2 linked regions of the Oryctolagus cuniculus genome follow. The protein of the gene in region 2 purifies or fractionates together with the protein of the main gene of each other region. This does not show direct contact. Links are inferred from orthologs where the notes say so. Each region holds a gene or a part of one and is shown on either strand. Other genes may lie near its edges.

The links.
Region 1: the proteins of STIP1 (region 2) and BAG2 purify together in Homo sapiens (affinity purification with mass spectrometry; 3 studies listed by BioGRID and IntAct, with this or other methods). This does not show direct contact. The link is inferred for Oryctolagus cuniculus from reciprocal best matches to the Homo sapiens genes STIP1 and BAG2.

The regions. Positions count from the first base shown.
Region 1 is NC_091436.1:112,392,018-112,401,578, forward strand, and holds the end of BAG2 (BAG family molecular chaperone regulator 2), read right to left. Parts: exon of another isoform or gene 8,121-9,561; coding exon of another isoform or gene 7,933-8,120; intron 5,543-7,932; coding exon 5,433-5,542; intron 4,337-5,432; coding exon 3,924-4,336; 3' UTR 2,849-3,923; downstream 1-2,848. Other genes in the region: RAB23 (ras-related protein Rab-23), read left to right, coding at 7,933-8,120. UniProt on the Homo sapiens protein: Co-chaperone for HSP70 and HSC70 chaperone proteins. Acts as a nucleotide-exchange factor (NEF) promoting the release of ADP from the HSP70 and HSC70 proteins thereby triggering client/substrate protein release.
Region 2 is NC_091432.1:7,107,917-7,118,346, reverse strand, and holds the start of STIP1 (stress-induced-phosphoprotein 1), read left to right. Parts: upstream 1-4,208; 5' UTR 4,209-4,410; coding exon 4,411-4,419; intron 4,420-8,269; coding exon 8,270-8,479; intron 8,480-8,735; coding exon 8,736-8,877; intron 8,878-8,975; coding exon 8,976-9,117; intron 9,118-10,430. UniProt on the Homo sapiens protein: Acts as a co-chaperone for HSP90AA1. Mediates the association of the molecular chaperones HSPA8/HSC70 and HSP90.

The sequences.
Region 1 (9,561 bases), on a different chromosome or scaffold from region 2:
GGCCCAAGGACTTGGGCCATTTTCCACTGCTTTCCCAGGCCATAACAGAGAGCTGGATAGGAAGTGGAGCAGCCAGGTCTTGAACTGGCACCCATATAGGATGTCAGCGCTTCAGGGCAGGGCATTAACCCGCTGTGCCACAGCACCAGCCCCCATAGCATACTGTTAGGAGGTATGCATCATACCTCATTTTGGGACCAGCACTGTATTGCAGCAGGTTGAGCCACTGTATCCTATACGGGTGCTTGTTCAAGTCCTGGCTGCCCCATTTCTGATCCAACTCCCTGCCAGTGTGCCTGGGAAGGCAATGGAAGACGGCCCAAGTGCTTGGGCCCCTGCAACTCATGTGGGAGACCTGAATGAAGCTGCTGACTCAGCTTTGTCCTGGCCCAGCCCTGGCTCTTGCAGCCATTTGCAAAGGGAGTGAAACCAGCCAATGAAAGATCTCTCTCTGCCTCTCCGTCTAACTCTGCCTTTTGAATAAATTCTTAAAAACAAAAGCATCTCACTTGGCTAATGTCTTAGGCTGCTCACATAGGATACACTGAGGATGGTGTCCACTGTGGAGTTTACAACACTGGAAGTCAGTAGTTCATTCACTACTGTGGGTCCTGCCCACTCCTGTAAGCTTTATTATTATTTTTTTTTAATGTCAGGGACCCTAAGTTAAAACATCACAGGCCAGCGCCACGGCTCACTAGGCTAATCCTCCACCTGCAGCACTGGCACAACCGGGTTCTAGTCCCAGTCGGGGTGTGGGATTCTGTCCCGGTTGCCCCTCTTCCAGGCCAGCTCTCTGCTGTGGCCCGGGAGTGCAGTGGAGGATGGCCCAGGTGCTTGGGCCCTGCACCCCATGGGAGACCAGGAGAAGCACCTGGCTCCTGGCTCCTGCCATCGGATCAGCGCAGCGCACTGGCCACAAAGCGCCAGCCGTAGCGGCCACTTTGGGGGTGAACCAATGGAAAAAGGAAGACCTTTCTGTTTCTGTCTCTCTCACTGTCTAATTCTGCCTGTCAAAAAAAAAAAAAAAAAATCATGAAGGTCAATTCTGTACTTTTCACTGGGCTGGATTTTCACTCTGTTCTCCACTGGTGAACTCAGTGCTGTCAGTTCCTCTGCACGTCCTGCGGGCCTTCACACGTCAGGGAGCCTGTCCTTCAGCGTGAAGGCAGACCAGGCCTCAGAAGAGGCAGCGAAGGGATGGGAACAGTGCCGGGAAGCAGGCTAGCCGCAAACTGTACATTACATGCTAGGAACAGTAGAGTTTGAGTAGGGAAGACACATACTCTAAATGCCCTTATGACCTAACTATAATCTATAGAAAATATGATCGTTTAAATGAGGGCCAAACTGTCATTCTTGGGGAGTTTCATTATTTAAAAATAAATTGTATTTCTAATTTTATAAAGAAAAATCTGTTAAGAATCCAGACAGGACGTCTGGCACAGCAGTTAAGATGCTGCTGGGGAAGGCTGCATGTCTCTAGAGTGCCTGGATTTAAACCTCAGCTCTGCCGATTCCAGATCCCTGCTGATGCACATCAAGGAACTGGCTCTCTGTCACCCACGCAGGAAACCTGGTTTGACTTCCTCACTCCCAGGCATTTGTGGAGTGAACCAGCAGACTGGAGGTCTCTCTGAAGAATAAAATAATTTTTTAATTAAAAGAAAATGGGGATCAGCACTGCAGTGAAGTGGATTAAGCTACTGCCTGTGGGGCTGGCATTGTGGCGTAGCAAGTAAAGCCACTGCCTGTGATGCTGGCATCTAATATGGGCACCAGTTTGAGTCCCGGCTGCTCCACTTCCAATCCAGCTTCTTGCTAACTGCCTGGGAAAAGCAGCAGAGGGTGGCCCAAGTGCTTGGGCACCTGCCACCCACGCAGGAGACCTGGAAAAAACTCATGGCTTTAGCCTGGCCCAGCCCTGGCAGTTGCTGCTATCTGGAGAGTGAACCAGTGGATGGAAGGTTGATTTCTGTCTTTCCCTCTCTGTAGCCCTGCCTTTTAAATAAAATACATTTTTAAAAAAAGATAATTAAAACACATAAAGGTCCTTGACTCCTAGCTGTGCTCACTCTGGAGGCTGGAGACAGGGCGTGAACCCCAGGCAGCTTGGGAATGGTGGAATGCAGCTCTCTTCTATGGTAAGAAAAGAATAGCTTCCCATAAAATGCCACAGCAGAGAAAATGAGAAAGGAACCATGCACAGGATACAGGGATCACGAGCCAGAGACTATTTTGTGGCAGGAAAAGTCCAGGCCTGGTGAGTGGGCGATGGGGAGGGATGTACTTCCCAGAACCGAGGCTAATACAGATGCTGCGACACTTGAGAACCCAGAGAAAAACTTAGCTGTCCATTTCTTAAATCTCAAAAAGCTGGGAAAGAAAAAGATGGCACACAAAATCTTCATCTGACAGTGAGCCTAATGATAGCAAATAGCCTGCTGGCAAGCCGTAGATAGAACCAGTGTTTCCATGGAATGAAAAGATTTAAATGAGGCATAGTTAGGGACAGCACAGAAAGCAACCATGAATACTCTCAGATTGTAATTGCTTTATATAAAGAGGGACTAACTTGGCATCTCTGTGCAGAGAAGCCCAGCACTGCTTGCATCTAATCAAGTGTATTGTGAGTTGTGTTTTTTAGTGTGAGGAATACCTACATCCTAATGAAAGCCGTTCAGTGTATTCATTTCAAAGTTGTTTTGAGGGTAGTTGTTGAGGTTTTTGTATATCGATAGCATTAACTACTTTGAACACATGTGTTCTATAGTTTCGATTCATTCCACAGATAATCAGTACAATGGTTGACCTTGTTAGTAAATAAAAAGCAAACTACATCAAGGTGTTTTATATCTAACGTTAGAAAAAGTTTAATGCTCAATGTTGGACCAATTTCGGTGAAATGGCTACATTTTAATTACTAAAGATAGTATAAATTGATAGAACTGATACAAAACATTTGGAAATGTGTGTCAGGCCATGAAAATGTGTATACCCTTTGACCCAATAAATCCACTGCTGGGATTTATACCAAGAAAGTAAAAAAAAGAAAGAATGATAAAGCTTTATGTACATAATCTGCTGCAGTAATGGCAACAAAGCGGAAACAACCTAAATGTTCAATAAGAGGGAAGCAGGTAAGTGAACTGTTGTACAACTGCACAAAACAGAGCTTTTCAAGTGACAAGTAGGCAGACCTACTAGCAGCATTTAACTTAAGGACAACCAAGTTACAACACTGTAATTTTAGAGAAGTTATGCATCTGAGAGAAGATGAATGGATATAGTATTGATCACAGTGGTAAAATTACAGGTGACGCTCTCATACTTTGTCATGTTCACAAACCACATATTATCCACATATTATGAGGTGCACAAAAGTTCAGAATAATTTGGTTACAGATGCCTTAAAAAACAACTGAATGGGAAAATGTAGGGAAAGCCTCTTGTTGTGTGATTCCTTTCGTCCCGCTAAGCAGGGCTGAGCTAACACTAGGGAAGCAGTACGCTGTGTGCTGCCCAAGGGAAAGCACGCCGAGGCAGATGCCCCAGGTCCTTGACAGGGAAAGTAGTTCCTTGACAGGGAAAGCCTGGGAAAGAGCAGCGGTGGCTTTGCCCCCAGCTCAGTACTTACTGTCCCCCACGCCATACTTTGTATTCATACACAGAACAGGAAAAACACAGAAGTAATGTGCTAGATCCTAGTACAAGAATTCTATATAAAAACTTCTAGATAATTAAAATAGTTCTAGTTTTAATTGGTATTCACAAAACTGATGGCACTGGAAATACTTTCCTCATCCGAAACAACTATCCGTATCAAATAAGTGGTTATGTCTAACATAAAGAACTAGTTTTCACTTAAAATAGTACTTTACCATTCCTACATCGTTATTTGTAAATGCTCTTAGGTTTAAGGACTAATTAAATCTGCTTTCGGCATTTTGTTGCAGAGTTTTGGAACCAGCTCCTTTAGAATGCTCTAACAGCTTGATGGCCTTGTCAGAGTTTTCAATGTTTCTAAGCAGAGTCTCTAATCTTCTCTTAATTTTCTTCTGATCTTCAAGAGCACAGCCGATTACTATGGACTGAAATTTCTGATCAACTGGCCCTGGTGGCACCTCAGACGAGCAGGCACTGTAGAGTGACATTAAATGATTCTTAGCATTTCCCAAATCATCCAGAAACTTATTGACCACATCATCAATAATCCTTGTGGCATGTTTTAGGGATTCTTGCTGCTGTGGGTTTCGAATTGTTTCTACTGAAACTTCAACAGTGAGGGTTCGTCCCATCAAGCGGTTTGCAGTCAGATTTAATTCTTCTCTTTCTCCTAGACAGAAACAGTTTTGAAATGTCATCAATATGAGAGACAGACTTAACCGTGAAGAACACTGAGGCACGTGTGGCTAAATTTATTTTCTATAAGCACTTCTGCTATGAAATGTTTTAGAGTTAAAAGCTGAAACTATAACACATATAAGACTGATGAATTGTCTGAGATTCTAGAATAAATGTGCATGCTAATCAGAATATTTTGCCCCAAATTTTGCCTGAAAAAAAGTAATAATGGGAGTGGAGGATAAGCTGGCCTCAGAAGTGGGCCATGGCTGGGGCCGTGGCTCCATCCCCTGCAGGCAGAGATAAGCAGGCCCTTGATCTCAGTCTTGGCTAGCACAAGGAGGCAATCAATGATGGTCAAAAGAGCTCTGTTGTTAATCTTGGGTAAAAGCCACCTGGTTGTCCTTCATTGACTTTGCTCAGGAAGCTGAAGGGCAGACCAGACCGTGAGCCCCAGTAGCTGTGGAACAGCTGTGGCTGGACTTAGACTGTTCACATTCTCACCAGCTACCTGGCCCACAATTTATCCTGTGGAGCGCCAAGTAGGGAGTCCAGTGCCAATGAAAAAAATCCCAAGTGACCCATTCCTCCATACTCATGCTCTTCATACGAAAATGATCGCACATTCTGAGACATAAGTGGGCTTTTTCAGCCCCATAATGTAACCTTTTCTCTGCATTTTGTTTGCATTTCCTCTCTTTAAGTCACACCTCAGTTCATCTCTGCTTCTTTACTTCCCTGCTTCCACTCCTCACCTTTTGCTTCTGCTCTCACCTTTCCTGCGGTCCAGTAACTTACAAGCACCAAAGTTAGAATGTGGAACTGTGGTGAACAGGTGGCTTCAAGCTTGGGGCCAGTCCTGCAGCTGGTAGGGCTTTGCCGTTCGCTCCATGCTGCGGCACAGCGAGCATGCTGGGAGTGATCTCTGGGGAAGTGGCATTTCTACAAACTGACAGCTACAGCTGCTCTCTGCAGCATGCAATAAATGCTGAAGCCTAGAGTACACACGCCAGAAGTCAAGTACAAGCTGCCCACACTTCACACACACCCCTTGAAGACAAGCCCCCTTCAGTGGAAATGGCGCTCACCGTCACTGATCTGCCTCATGTCCTGGCTATTTTGGATACTGTGGATCATTTCCAGAAGGATTTCTTTCTCTTGCTCAACAGCACTGGCAGCTTCTCTCAAAGCTTCAACCCTATGTAAATTGGAAAACAAAGCAGTTATTACGGAGGATGTTCTTCGTATTGATCTTCATCTCTCATTCAATCCAACTCAGGTTTACAGACCATTAGGAACACTTCAAAAGTTCCTTGTTCCGCTTCTAATTCTTCCATTTTCTATTTTGTTTTTATCCACTTGCCTCCCTTCCATTTTCCTCCTTGCTTACAGGGCAACTGTTCCATTTTATTTGTTCCCACAAACTCTATTGTTTGTTAAATTGTGTACTTTTAAAAAAAAGATTTATTTGAAAGTCAGTATTAGAGAAAAAGAGAGATAGTGAGAGAGAGGTCATCCATCTGCTGGTTTACTCTGCAGATGGCTGCAATGACCAGGGCTGGGCCAGGCCCAAACACTTAGGCCATCTTCTGCTCTTCCCAGCCAGCAGCAGAGAGCTGGATAGGACACCCAGCAACTGGGACACAAACAGGTGCTGACATGGGGTGCTGGCGTTGCAGGCCATGGCCTTATCACCACACTGCAATGTCAGCCCCTACTGTGTACTTTTAATTTATATCTCATTCTGGTTTTTTTTTTCATTCAGCACTATATTACTATGAACCAACGAGGTTTCTGTGTGTACAGTGCATCTAATTGATAGCTTCTAGGGGAAAGCACTTGGTATAGTAATTCAGACTGCTTGAGATGCCCACATGCCATACTGGAATACTTGGGTTCAAGTCCTGACTGTTCCCAGTTGTAGCTGGCAGCTGGGAGTCAGCAGGGGATGACTCTAGTAGTTGGGTCCCTGCCCTCCACTCTATTGAGTTCCTGGTTCCCAGCTGGCCTGGCCCAGCATGGGTAGTTGAAGGCATTTGGGGACTGAATGAATAGACAGGAGCTCGCTCGCTCTCTCTGACTTTCATATAAATAAGTTGAAAAATTTTTAAACACAATTTTTAAAAAATCAGCAGCTTCTAATGATACAATATTCCATGTGTATACACACCTGATTTTACCTCCCCACTCTCCCAGAATGGATGCCTAGGGTGTCCACCAACTGCTGATTACTGCATATAGTGCTTCAATGAATGCATGCCACCCCCCTACCACCCCCAAGTGAGAATTTCCTTAGGCTACGTCCAGGCCACAGCTGCAGTGTATGTGTACTCTAAATGTGGCAGGGAGCTACAACTCTTCTCCAGAGTAGCTGTACCATCCCTCCCAACGGTGAAGCATGGAGTCCCTTGTCCCCACCTCCGTGGGCACGGAGCATTCCAAGCTTCTATGTGTTGCCAGTCTAATGAGGGCGCAGTGATATCTCAGTATGTAAGTGCATTTCTTTCCTTATTAATAATGTTTGATAGCTCTTCGATATCCACAACAACCTGCTGACATACTTTGCCCTTTTTTTAAGGTTCATTTTTAATTTATTTGAAAGGCAGAAGGACAGAGAGAAAGGGAGAGACAAAGGGAGAAAGAGATCTTTCATCTGTTGGTTCACTCCCAAAATGGCTGCGATAGCCAGGGCTGAGCCAGGTCAAAATCTGGAGCCTGGAACTCCATCTGGGTTTCCCACACGGCTCACAGGGGCCCAGGTTGTCAGCGATCATCCACTGCTTTCCCAGATGCATCAGCAGGGAGCTGCACTGAAAGTGGAGCAGCTAGGACCTGACCCAGTGCTGACATGAGATGCCAGCCTCCCAGGCAGCAGCTTAACCTGCTGCACCATAAATCCGGCTCCTTTGTGTTTTTTTCTTTTTTAAACAGGAGTTCCTGTCTTTTTGTTGATTTCCATACTGGAGATATTAATTTCTTATTGATTACAGACACTGCTGTCATAGATGAACTTTGTCAGGATCTCCTTCACTAAGCAGAAATCCTTATCTTGATGAAATCAAATTCATCATTTGTTTAGCCTTTTGGTTAATGGTTCTGAAGTTTTGTTTAAAGGCCTTCTTCACCTCTGACCATGTGATATTTTCCTGTACTAACTATACAGTTTTAACCTTTCTTGTATTTGTATCTTCAATTCATTTGGAATCCATCCTTATGTGATTAGCTAAGGTTTTTTTTTTATTTTTCTTTTCCCTGCTGATCTGTATAATCTTTACTGCATACATTAGCATATTTGACTGTTCTTAACCCACATACACTTTAATATTTGGCAGAGCAGTTCCCCAAGCCCCAATCTTCTTTAGAAGAAGTGATTTATGGCCCATTATTCCTCCATATAAACTCTAGCATAAGTTTTTGGGTTTCTCAAAGAGTTGAGGGAAATCAGACCTCTTTATAGTATTTTCACTACATTCAGGGACATGACGCATCTCATCACTTACTCAGATCTTCTATATTCTTTATTAGAGTTTTGAAGTATTTTTCATTCTAGCCTTGCGTACTCCTTTTTGCTTTTTTTCTTTTTTTTAGGCAGAGATAGAGAAAGAAGGGGAGAGAGAGATATCTTCCGTCTGCTGGTTCACTCCCCAAATGGCTACAATGGATGGGGCTGGGCCAGGCTGAAGCCAGAGCCAGAAGCTTCCTCCGGGTCTCCCATGTGGGTACAGGGGCCTAGGCAGTACTTGGGCCATCTCCCACTGCTTTCCCAGGTGCATTAGCAGCAAGCTGGATCAGAAGTGGAACAGCCAGGACTCAAACTGGCGCCCATGTGGGATGCCAGCACTACAGACAGCAGCTTTGCCCGCTACGCCACAGCACTGGCCCTGTCTTGTGGGCTCTAAAGTGTTCTAGATTCTTAGGTACTTTTTGAATATTATTACTATTATAAATAATTGCATTTTCTACTCAATTATTGCTGATTTAATAAATGCTGTATTTCTAAGTTCCTTTTAAAACTGGCAACCTCAATTTACACATTAATTTTAATGGCCAGTCTCTTGTTTTTAATGGTTCTTCTAAGTTGATGATCACATTATCCGCCAAAAATAATTTTTATGTCCTCCTTTATAATCATATTCTTATTTTCTTCTTTAGTCTTGACTAAGGTCCTCTCTAGAACTGTATTTAAAAGTGACAGCGATGGGGTCATCTTTGTTTTTCCCAACTTTAATGAGAAAGCCCCTGTAGATTTTTGGTAGAAAGTTCTGATCAAACTATAGGAGCGTCACCTTCCCTACCACTCCCACTGCACACACATGCACCCACCACACATATACAAGAACACATCTAGTCACTGCAGAACTAGGTTGTAGAATCAGGAGGGCAAAAGAATTTAAAAAAATTCTTGCACATCTCAAAGTGTTATATTGCGAGATCACTGTCTTCTTACAGATTACAGTAACTATGTCACCAACTTTCACAAAATGAAACAGACTTATCCCCAGTATTTAAATGGTCACAGAAACACAAGATCATGGGAGCATCATCAGTGGACTGGGTGACCTGGAGAGACCTAACGGGAAGATGAGGGGCTGACGCTGTGGAGTACTGGGTCAAGCCATTGCTTATGAACCGGCACCCTGTATCAGAGCACTGTTCTAGTCTCGAGAGCTCTGCTGCAGAGGGAGCTCCCAGCTAACTCGCCTGAGAAAACAGCAGAACATGGCCCAATTATTGGGCCCCTGCCACCAACAAGGGAGAACAGCATGGAGTGCCTGGCTCCTGGCTTCAGACTCGCCCAGTTCTGGCCATTGCAGCCATCTGGATAGTGAACCGGTGCTCTCTGTCTCAGTCTCTCTGTCTTTTAAATAAATAAATGAATCTTTAAAGAAAAATGGGAAGGCAATTTGGTAACTTTCTGAAAGAGCCAGGACATGCCCAACACCTGTCTGTGATATCAACTGCTGGCTTCTGGACTCCAGGACAACACCCAAGCCCCTTTTGCTTGCACTCAGGCTTTTTGGTCACTGAGACTCATATCCTTAGCTTCTCTTGTACTCAGGCCCTTGGACTTGATATCAACATCCTAGGTTCTCCTTGAAGATGTCCTGTCACGGGACTTCTCAGCTGCCACAACTGTTTGAGCCAAACCCCTAATAAATTTTCCTTCCTTCATATACTTAAAAAAGAAATACTAGATCATGGAAGGTCTAATGCAGA
Region 2 (10,430 bases):
TGGAGCCCCGTGGCTCTCTAAGGGATAGTTCCTGAAGGATAATCACCATCGTCTCACTCCTTGAAGCTTACGGCACAGCGCCTCGCTTCGCCAATTCACCAGAGTAGAGCACTATTTTTAAACACTGGATTAATTTACTTGAGTGACAGAGTGAGCTCCCGTCCACTGGGTCACTTCCCAAGTGGGGCCCAAAGCCAGGAGCACAGAGGTCAACCCAGGTCTCCGATTCAGGCAGCCGGACACCAACTACTTAAGCCATCAGTGTGGCCTCTCAGGGTGGGCATTGGCAGACGCCAGGGGTCCGGAGCCAGGCACCAGACCCAGGCACTGAAATCAGGAATGACCCCTAAAATTCACACAAAAATATGGCCCCGTAAAGTCCCCCAGAAGCGCTATCTGGGGTGCCACGTATGCTACCGGAATTTGGGGTGCCGTACGATTTCACCATACGCTTTTTACTAAATCCCCAACATTTATAAGCCCGAGAGGGCTCTTGCCCAATATTTAGAGAAGAATTCTAAATACCGGCACAGATAAACGAGGCAGCACGGCACATTTTAGGCCTTTATTTAGTGTGAAAGATGCGTAGGAGAGTGGGAGCTTTATTAAGGGAGAGGGGTAAATCTGGGTTCACACGAGCACCAGGAACCAGCCACGAGGAGGAGCACCTGGGCCAGGAAGCCTGAGGGGTGGCCCGAAGGCCACGCGCCCTGGAGGCGCAGGGCTACAGCGAGCCCCTCCTGGCGAGAGGCCAGGGCAGAAGAGAAGAGGGCCGGACACACCGTGTCCCAGGCTTTAACCCACTTCCAAAGGGGAGTGGTTAATTACCCTGATTGGCTGGTGGGCGCCCAGGTGTGGCCAGGTGGGGGGATGAGGTCACACAGGGGCGTGGCGAAGGCGTGGTCTTCCAGCTCACAGACCTAATCGATTTTAACCTGTAGGCCTGCCTACTTCAGTACCACCTCAGGGGGCTCCAGCAGCAGCCAGCGGCCCGCCTGCCCGCGAGGTCACCACCCCAACAGCCGCGCCCCGCGTTCCCCAGTGAGCAGGATTGGCCAGCCAGCTCGGCAGAAGCTGGGGTTGTGAGGACCCCGACGGGTTAACAGGCGGTCAGGGCGGTCCCAGAGGAAGTTAGGGTGGTGGAGTGCATGCACCCCCCCCAAGGCAAGAACCAAAAGCCCGCCCTCCTACCGAGGAATCTCCAAATTTACCATGAGAATAGGGAGGGAGTGGTGGCACGGTTGATGGTGAAAACATGTGGCCCACCCCACCCTGAGCGAGCCAGCCCACAGCTAGGTTTCCAATCAGGACCTTTGTCCCCGCCCTGTAACTGAACGCCAAGATGATTGTCAAGTTCTTTTGTTTTCCAAAATTAAGCTTAAAAACCCCAAGTGCCGCGGGGGCCTCTGACAGCCCCCTCTGTGCCACCCTGGCTGGAGGCCTCTTTCTGATCAACCTCGCTTTTAAATCCAGACGCCTGGGGGCTCTTCCACTTGAGACCAAGAACCGCGGCAGCAGTACGCTCTCCGCCGTCACGTCCCCGCACGGGGAGCACCGTTAAACAGGACATTGAAGTATTCCTGGGGGCGGGTGGTACCGTGCTGGGGTGACCACAGTGCTGGCTCCCGTGCCCAGGGAACCAGCGGGAGATGGCCCGGGTGCTCGGGTCCCTGCATCCACGTGGGAGACCCAGACGGAATTCCTGCTTCCTGGCTTTGGCCTGGCCCAGCCTTGGCACTGCAGCCCTCAGGGGAGTGACCCCGCAGATGCAGGCTCTCTATCCCCCCGCCCCCATCATTGTCTTTCAGTCTTGCAGGAGGCACCTTTAGGAGTTTCTCAAGGCCCAGGGTTTTTTCTTACTGGGAGGAGGAGACTGGGGGTGGGTGGCTGGGGGGGGGGGGGTGTTTACCTCCCGCTCCAAACTGAAGCCCTCCCAGAATTCCAAACTGCTTTTTAGAGAATTCTAGGCACAGGCTCAACCACGGCCTGCATCGTGGTTACACACAGGTACACGTGGGCTTCATGTAGGGAGTGGACAGGGAAAGGTAAGAAGGGGGATGTTTTTAATTGTTTTTTAGAGTTTTTATTTATTTATTTGAAAGGCAGACTTACAGGGAGGCAGAGAGAGAAAAATCCTCCATCCACTGGTTCATTCCCCGAATGGCGGGAGCTGGCCCGATCTGAACCAGGAGCCTGGAGCTTCTTCCGGGTCTTGCACGTGGGTGCCCAAGGACTTGGGCCATCCTCCACTGCTCTCCCAGGCCACAGCAGAGAGCTGGACTGGAAGTGGAGCAGCCGGGACTAGAACTGGCGTCCACGTGGGATGCCGACACTGCAGGCGGCGGCTTTACCCGTTATCTGGAAGGGGAACTCCACACCCCGGGTAAGGGGAAGGGATGGGTCATCTGATTAGGGATAGGATGACCAGCAGGTGGGCCTCCAGCTCAGGAACTCAACCCATCGCCCCAACTCCCCACTTCACCACCTTCCCCAGGCCCCCACCGCCCCGCGCTGACGCCCGGTCTCCCACCTCCCTCTTGAAAATGTATCACCACCCCTGCTCCAGCACACACACTGGGCTTTTTTTTTTTTTTTTAAGATTTTTACTTATTTCTTCGGGAGGCAGTCACAGAGACATAGAAAGGACTTCCATCCACTGGCTCCCTCCCCAAATGGCCACAAGGGCAGGAGCCAGGAGCTTCTTCCGGTCTCCCACGCGGCTGCAGGGGCCCAAGCACTTGGGCCATCCTCCACTGCTTTGGGCTGGAAGAGGAGCAGCTGGGACTTGAACTGGCATCCTCACGGGATGCCGGCGCCTCACGCAGAGGCTTAGCCTGCTCCACCACAGCCCGGCCCCCACCAAGGGAGTTCTGAGCCCACCGTGACCCCTGACAGGGGACAGCATGTCCAGGCACATTCCGTGAACTGACAAGTGCCTACTGCGGGCTGGACTCTGGGAAAGAGGCTCCAGGCCGTCCGGGGCCTCCCGGACCGCGGCACCCACGCCCACGTCGCCCCTCTGGTGGGGCTCACGCCCAGCCCAGCGCCGGCAGAGCCATGTACCGGGTGCCTGCCGGGGGCGGCACCGCAGCCTGGAGATGGCAGGGCCGCGGGAAGCGGGAACCACGAGGGGACCGGCGGAGGGAGGCAGGCTGGCCCGACACTGAGCGAGCCGCACCCCAAAGCCTGCACAGGGAGGGGTCTGCCGAGAGGCCACCGGCACAGGCGGGACACGGACCCGCGTTCAGCGGCAAAGAGCAAGAGACAGCGCCCACGCCACCCCGAGCTGGTTCCCTCCCCCAGAGCCCCTGCAGCTGGGACTGAGCCAGGCCCAAGCTGAGAGGGGAGTCCACCTGGTCCCACGCGCGGGCGCCTGCTACCCCAGGGCGCGCGTTCGCGGGGCGTGGGTGCGGCGCTGGGCCTCGAACCTGCAACTAGCTGGGATGTGGCGGGGCCCCGGGCGGTCCTCGCGCGAACCCATCCAGTTCCCCGAACCACACACGGGGCCTGCACGCAGAAGCACCCACCGAACCCAGACTCATCTCTCTCCCGCCTTCCCCACCCCACCCCCTGGGGCTGGACCCCCGGCCGCGGCCTCCAATGCCCGCGTCCGGCCCAAGCCACGGCGCCTTCTCGGCCACGGCGCAATTCGGGGAGACCCAGGGTCTAACAGGTGGGCCGAAGCCGGAGGCGCAAACGCGGGCACTGGCGCTCACGGGCCGAGCCGCTCTCCCGGCGCCGGCGCAGACAGTCGCGCCCCAGGCCCACGCGAGGACAGGGTCGTCTCGGCCGGAGGCAGCCGCAGTCCCCAGAGCCCCGGCAACTGGGCGTTCAGGGCAGCCCCGAACTCCCACAAACCACCGGCGGGGCGACACCCGGCACCCGCTCTTTGACGGGCAGCCGTTTAAACCTATCAACGCAAAGTGTTGGCAAGTCTCCGCCCAATTGAAATTTTTTTTCTTGTGAAGGCGGTTCCTTCATGGAGTCTGGCAGCCCAATGGGAAAGGTGGAAATTTCCAGAAAGAACAGAACCAATGGGCGCTGCCAGCTCGACCGCGATTGACAAACCAACCAGCCAATCCTAGTCGCAGACGTACGCCCCTCCCTCCATCCACAGGGCCTGAGATGGGCGGGGATTGCCCGAGAGAGCCAATCAGGAGGTGCGGGGAAGGCCGGGTTGACGGGATTACTGGTCTCCGACCAATGAAAGAAAAGCGAAAATGATAGGCTGGACTTCAAGCCAATTGCAGAGGAGCAGAGGGAGCCCCCTAGAGGCGCTCGGCCAGTGAGCAGGCGAGGAAGAGGCGGGAGCCGGGGTCCTGGCATCTTCTAGTAGGTTCCAGAAGGCGGCGCGTGCGGCTGGGAACGCGGAGCGGACGGGTTCGATTCAACGGGGTTCCGGGCCGGACTATGGAGCAGGTGAAGGGGGAGGGGCGGGCTGTGCCCGAGACGGCTCGGGCACCGGCCGAGGCTGGGCCCGGCGGAGTGGCGGGGCGGGCACCGGCTCGGGGCGGCCGGGGCCGGGGCCGGGCTGTCGGCGGCGGGAGGCGAGGGCGTGAGGGCCGCGGCCTGAGGGCAGGCCGGCGGCCGCCCGTGGCGGGGCCGGGCCGCGGGGAGCGCGGGCCGCCGGGGGAGGCCTGAGTTGGGCGTGAGGCCTCCCGAGAGGTGGCTGCAGGCCGAGCCGCGGGTGGGCGAGGGGCAGGAGCCGCGGCCGGGGGAGGTCGCGGCCTGGGCGGGCAGCGACTGGGGACGGGGAAGCCGCCCCGGACGGTGACCTCGGGGAAAGCCGGGAGCGGGGACGGGAGCGCTGGGAGTGCCGAGGGACTTTGCAGCCTGGGGTCCCCGGGGGCAGGAGAGGCCTCCCTGGCTGCGTCGAGGTCGGGGTCCGGGCGGCCGGCGGCGGGGACGAGTGCCCTCCGGCCGGCGTCTCGCGGGTCCGTGTGCGACGTGCGGCCGCAGCCCGAGAAGTCGGGGTCTGACCGCGCGGGGAGGCGTCCCCAGCCGTGGACCTGCGGCGTTGGAAGCGATGCCCACGGGGGCCTGCAGGTGCGCGCGAGACCTCGCGAGGCGGCTGCCGTGGGGCCGCGGCCACTGACGGTGGAAAAAGCGGGGAGCCGGGCGCCGTGGCCTGGGGAGGGCCCCTGCAGCGGGGGCCTTTGTTCTGGCGCGGTGGGCAGGGCTGGAGCGGCCCGTGCGCGGCCGGGACCGAGGTGCCCCGTGCTGACCTGGAGCGGGACGGGGAGAGGGTGGTGCCCGTCTCGGGCCTCCGTAGTGTTGTGTCCGGGGCGAGGCAGGCCGGCGTGGGCCAGCGCGGGGACTGGAAGCCCTTGGTCTGTTGGTGTAGAAGCGGCCGTCGGTGCTGTGGGCGGTTCTCCTGGGCCGCCCACTGCGGGCCCATTACGGGCGGACTGCAGCCTAAGCCGGGGGTCCTGCCGCCCGCGCTCGCGCCCAGGTGCGCTAGCACCCGCCCCTCCGAGTCCAGGCCCCGAGAGCGCCGGGGGACTGCTCGGCCCTCGGTTTTGGATTTCGGCTGTGAAGTCCGTCCTGCAGTTAGACCTCAGAGCGGACAAGTTAGAGTCAGGGGCGGCGGGAGGGAGCGCCCACCCGCCGGCTCACCCCCGCGTGGCCCTAAGGCCAGGGCTCCCACGCGGGGGCAGAGCCCAAGCACGAACCAGCAGGGCTGCCGTGTTGCAGGCAGCTTAACCCTCCACCCCACAGCCCTGCCCCGTGGGTGTCTAAAACAAGGACCTTTCTCGTCTCAGGGTACACTGTACTTTTAGAAAGAAAAGAGGTTTATTTGCTTGTTCGAAAGGCAGAGTTGTATGCACTGGGAGACACAGAAATATCTTCCATCCACTGTCCCACTCCTCCAGTAGCCACAGTGGCGGGGACTGGGCCAGGCCAAGGCCAGAAGCTGGAAACCCTGCCCGGGGCTCCCACACTGCTGGCGGGCCCATCTCTGCTTTTCCAGGTGCATTCGCAGGGCGCTGGCCTGGGAGTGGAGCGGCCGGGGCTGGAACCAGAGCCCAGGAGAAGCTGGTGTTGCACACAGCGGCTTAGCCTGCTGCACCGCCCCTGGCCGCAGGCTTGCACATCCGACCAGGGCGCGCATCCCGCTGTGGGAAGTCAGAGAGGCAGAGAGAGGTCTTCATCCGCTGGTTCACTCCCCAGATGGCCACAGCGGTCGGAGCTGCACCGATCTGAAGCCAGGATCCCCCTCCGGGTCTCCCACACGGATGCAGGGCCCCAGCACTGGGGCCATCTTCCACTGCTTTCCTAGGCCACAGCAGGGAGCTGGATCTGAAGAGGAGCAGCCGGGACTAGAACTGGTGCCCTGTGGGCTGCTGCACTGCAGGCAGCGGCTTTACCCGCTACGCCACAGCACCAGCCCCTGTGTGACACGCGTGAAGCGGTGTTTGCGGTCCTGTGTGCTGGCACCCCTTCCGCGGGATGTGCTGGAACGCTGGTCCTGACCTAGAGGATTGTGCCGCAGCTCAGTCCTTGCATGGAAACTGCTTTTCCTCGCGTGGTCAGGACCTCACCAGGCTTCCTCAGCTGCCCCTGGGCACCAGTTTTTTTTTTTTTTTTTTAAGATTTATTTAAATTTATTTGATAAGAGTTAAAGAGAGAAGTAGAAGCAGAGTTAGCGGTCTTCCATCCGCTGGTTCACTCCCCAGATGGCCACAGCGGCCAGAGCTGAGCCCAGCTGAAGCCAGGAGCTGGGAGCTTCTTCCCACGTGGTGCAGGGGCCCGAGGACTTGGCCCATCCTCCACTGCTCTCCCAGGCCACCGCACAGAGCATCAGAGTGGAGCAGCTGGGGCTCGAACCGGCGCCCATCTGGGATGCCAGAGCTGCGGGCAGGCCTTAGCCCGCCGCATCGCGGTGCTGCCTCACCATAGAGTTCTGTGACTTGGCGTTTCCCCTCCCTTGCTGCACTGTTAGGCCTTTTCCTGTCTTCTTCCCTGGCTCTTGCACTCCTTCCTCTTGGAGGGTTCCTGGGTGCTGTGCCCGGAGGGCCCAGAGTCCTTTGTGTTAATGCAGTTTTTTTCTTTTTTTCTAAGATTTTATTCATTTATTTGAGAGGTAGAGTTAGAGACACAGAGAGAGGTCTTGCATCTGCTGGTTCACTCCCCAAACGACCACAATGGCCGGAGCTGGGCGGAACTGAAGCCAGGAGCCACTCTGGGTCTCCCACGCGGGTGCAGGGGCCCGAGGACTTGGGCCATCTTCTGCTGTGCCGGGACACAAACCGGCACCCATGTGGGATGCCGGCGCTGTGGTGGAAGCTTAGCCTACCGCGCCCCAGCGCTGGCCCCTGGTGTGTTTCTGTCGTGGATACCCTGTGGGGGTTGGGGGTGGCATCGAATGGCAGAGTGGTACAGTAACTTTGTGACGTGGCCTGATACCAGGGAATGTGTTGGTATTTTATTTTTTTATTTTTTTACCTTTGAAAGGTAGAGTTAGAGAGGGGTCTTCCATCTGTTGGCTCGCTCCCAGTGGCCGGGCTAGGCCATGCCAAGGCCAGGAGCTTCATCTGGGTCTCCCACGCGGGTGCCGGGGTCCATGTACCTGGACCACCTGCTGCTGCTTTCCCGGCGCGTCAGTGGAGAGCTAGACCAGGACTCCAGGCTGCGCTCTGGCATGCCATGCATTTCAGAGGGAGCTCAGGGTGTGGGCTGCCCGGGGCGGGTGGCCTTCCCCGGGCGGTTCCAGCAAGAAGCCCCTTGGTTAGGACCCTTCTAACCTGGCTTTCTTCGACCCTTTGCTTCTAAGTATTGGCAGGGACGGGAGACCAAAGCAGGGCCTTGGTCTGCGTTCTCCGTCCCCTGTGTGGCCCCGGGGAAGAAGCTAGGGGTCAGCTTTCCCCGTGCAGGACGGCGGTACTGCGCGTGGCCACGTCGCCCTGGCTGAACAGGAGGGGCTGGCAGAGGAGCCCTGACTGGCGTCCTGAGCTCCGGGGAGCTCGCCACAGCCTGCAGGCCCTGCGCCGCGAGTGCTGATCCAGGTGCTGGCTTCCCGCGAGGGGCGGGGCCTGTGCCCGGCGTGTCATGTGGACTGGGAATCTGCCGCGTGGTTCGCTTGTCCGTGGAAGGGCCCCTCCGGGAGCGGCTCCCTCGTCTCCGGGAGACGGGTTAGAGCGGGGCCCGCTCGGCCCTGCCGGCTGCCGGAGGGGTGGATGAAGCTGCTTCCCGTTCTGATGTGATGAGGCTCGGGAAGACCTGGGGGGCTCGGGAAGGCCTGGGGGCGCTGAGCGCGCTGTGCCCACAGGTGAGCGAGCTGAAGGAGAAGGGCAACCAGGCCCTGAGTGCCGGCAACATCGACGACGCCGTGCGGTGCTACTCGGAGGCCATCCGGTTAGACCCCCGGAACCATGTGCTCTACAGCAACCGCTCCGCGGCCTACGCCAAGAAAGGGGACTACCAGAAGGCCTACGAGGACGGCTGCAGGACCGTGGAGCTGAAGCCCGACTGGGGCAAGGTACGCCGGGGCGGCGCTCCAGCTCGTCCGCAGCGAGGCCTGGGCTCCGTCCTCTGTCCTGGGAGAAGGGAGCCGCTGCCGGCCGGGGGCGGGGGGGGGGGCAGTCTCGATCCTCAGCCGGGGCATCCTGTCCTGTTCGTGGCCTAGGTGGAAGTGTCAGTTTGCTGCTTAACTTGTAGATGGGTCTTGAGTCGTCTCTGGGAGTTCACCTCCAGGCTGCTTTATTTTATTTTGTGTTTGTCTTTGCTGGCTCCAGGGCTATTCGAGAAAAGCAGCCGCTCTTGAGTTCTTGAACCGATTTGAAGAAGCCAAACGAACCTACGAGGAGGGCTTGAAACATGAAGCCAGCAACCCCCAGCTCAAAGAGGGCCTGCAGAACATGGAGGCCCGCCTGGCAGGTGGGCGCCGGGCGCGGCTCCTCGCCTGGCCGTGTCCTCGAGTTAGAAGGTAGCCTGCAGGGACGGGTTTCACAGGTGGCTTCGCTGTGTCCCCACAGAGAGGAAGGTCATGAACCCCTTCAACATGCCCCATCTGTACCAGAAGCTGGAGAGCGACCCCAGGACCCGGGCGCTGCTCAGCGACCCCACCTACCGCGAGCTCATAGAGCAGCTGCGGCACAAGCCGTCGGACCTCGGCACGTGAGTAGGGGCGGGGCGGGCGGGCCAGGCCGCGGTTTCTGTCTTAAAGTGGGAGGCGTGGTACAGTCCCCCTGCGCCCCTCACCCCGTTTCCCCATTAACATCTCGATTGGAGTCCCTGTCACAACTGATTAACTATTCCCACTCTCCTGTTTCTTATGCATCCAAAACCTCTCATTCCCTCCCAGCCTCCACCGTTGATTTCTGTTAGAGCAGTGAAGGTTTGTTTATAGCAAGGGTCGGGGAGAGACTGGCGTTGTGTGCAGCAGGTAAAGCTGGCTCCCGTGACGCCAGCGTCTCACGTGGGTGCCGACCGTGTCTGCTGCTCCTGGCTTCAGCCTGGCCCAGCCCTGGCCGTTGCAGCCACCTGGGGAGTGAACCGGTGGATGGAAGACCTCTGTCTCTTCCTTTGTAACTCAGATAACTTTGAGATAAATAAGTCTTTGAAAAAAGGGAGGGGCGGTGGAAGCGTGTGTTACAGTGAGCAGAGTCTCTGCACTCTGCGTGTGGCTCCTCCCCCTGCTCGCAGTTCTGGGCGGGACCAGCTCCATGGTTGCAGGGACACGAGCCCTGCTGCTCCCTGTTGGGATTTTTGCAACAGGAACAGTCACACTGCTGGGGTGATTTGAGGGGTGGGCGTTGTGCTGTAGTGCGGGCACCTTGTGGCACCGGATTAAGTCCTGGGGTCCACTTCCAGTCCCCCTGCCTGCTAATGGCCTGGGAGAGCAGCAGCAGTTGGGCACAGTGCCTGGGACCCTGCCCCCACGTGGGAGGACCACGTGAAGCTCCTGGCTTCGGCCCTCGGGGGAGTGATGGAAGTGGATGCAAGGGAAAAGGCTGTCTTTCCTCTCTGTAACTGTACCTTTCAAGTAAATTTTTGAAAGATTAAGATTAAGGCAAATAGGGAGAGAGAAAGAGATCTTCCATCTGCTTGTTACCTCCCTGGTGCACACAACAGCTGGGACAGGGCCACCAGCATGAGCTGAGCTGAGCTGCCGGCTGCCTCTCCCAGCACGTTAGCAGGAAGCGGGGTTGGTAGCAGGCAGCCAGGACGCGCACCAGACTCCAATACTGGGTGGGGTGCCCCAGGCGGCAGCGTAATGCGCTTCCCCACGGTGCCCGGCCCGGATCTGTATGTATCTTGCATGGGGCCTGTTGCCGTCTGAGCCCTGGCTCCCGAGGTCAGTGAGGTCAGCCGATAGGAACTCATTTTTCTCGTACCTGCTGGCCTCCAGACCTGAAGGTGACTGAACTGACCCTGGTGACTCCATTCTAGTCAGGGGTTTAAAGGGTTGACTTTTACACCGTTGGCAG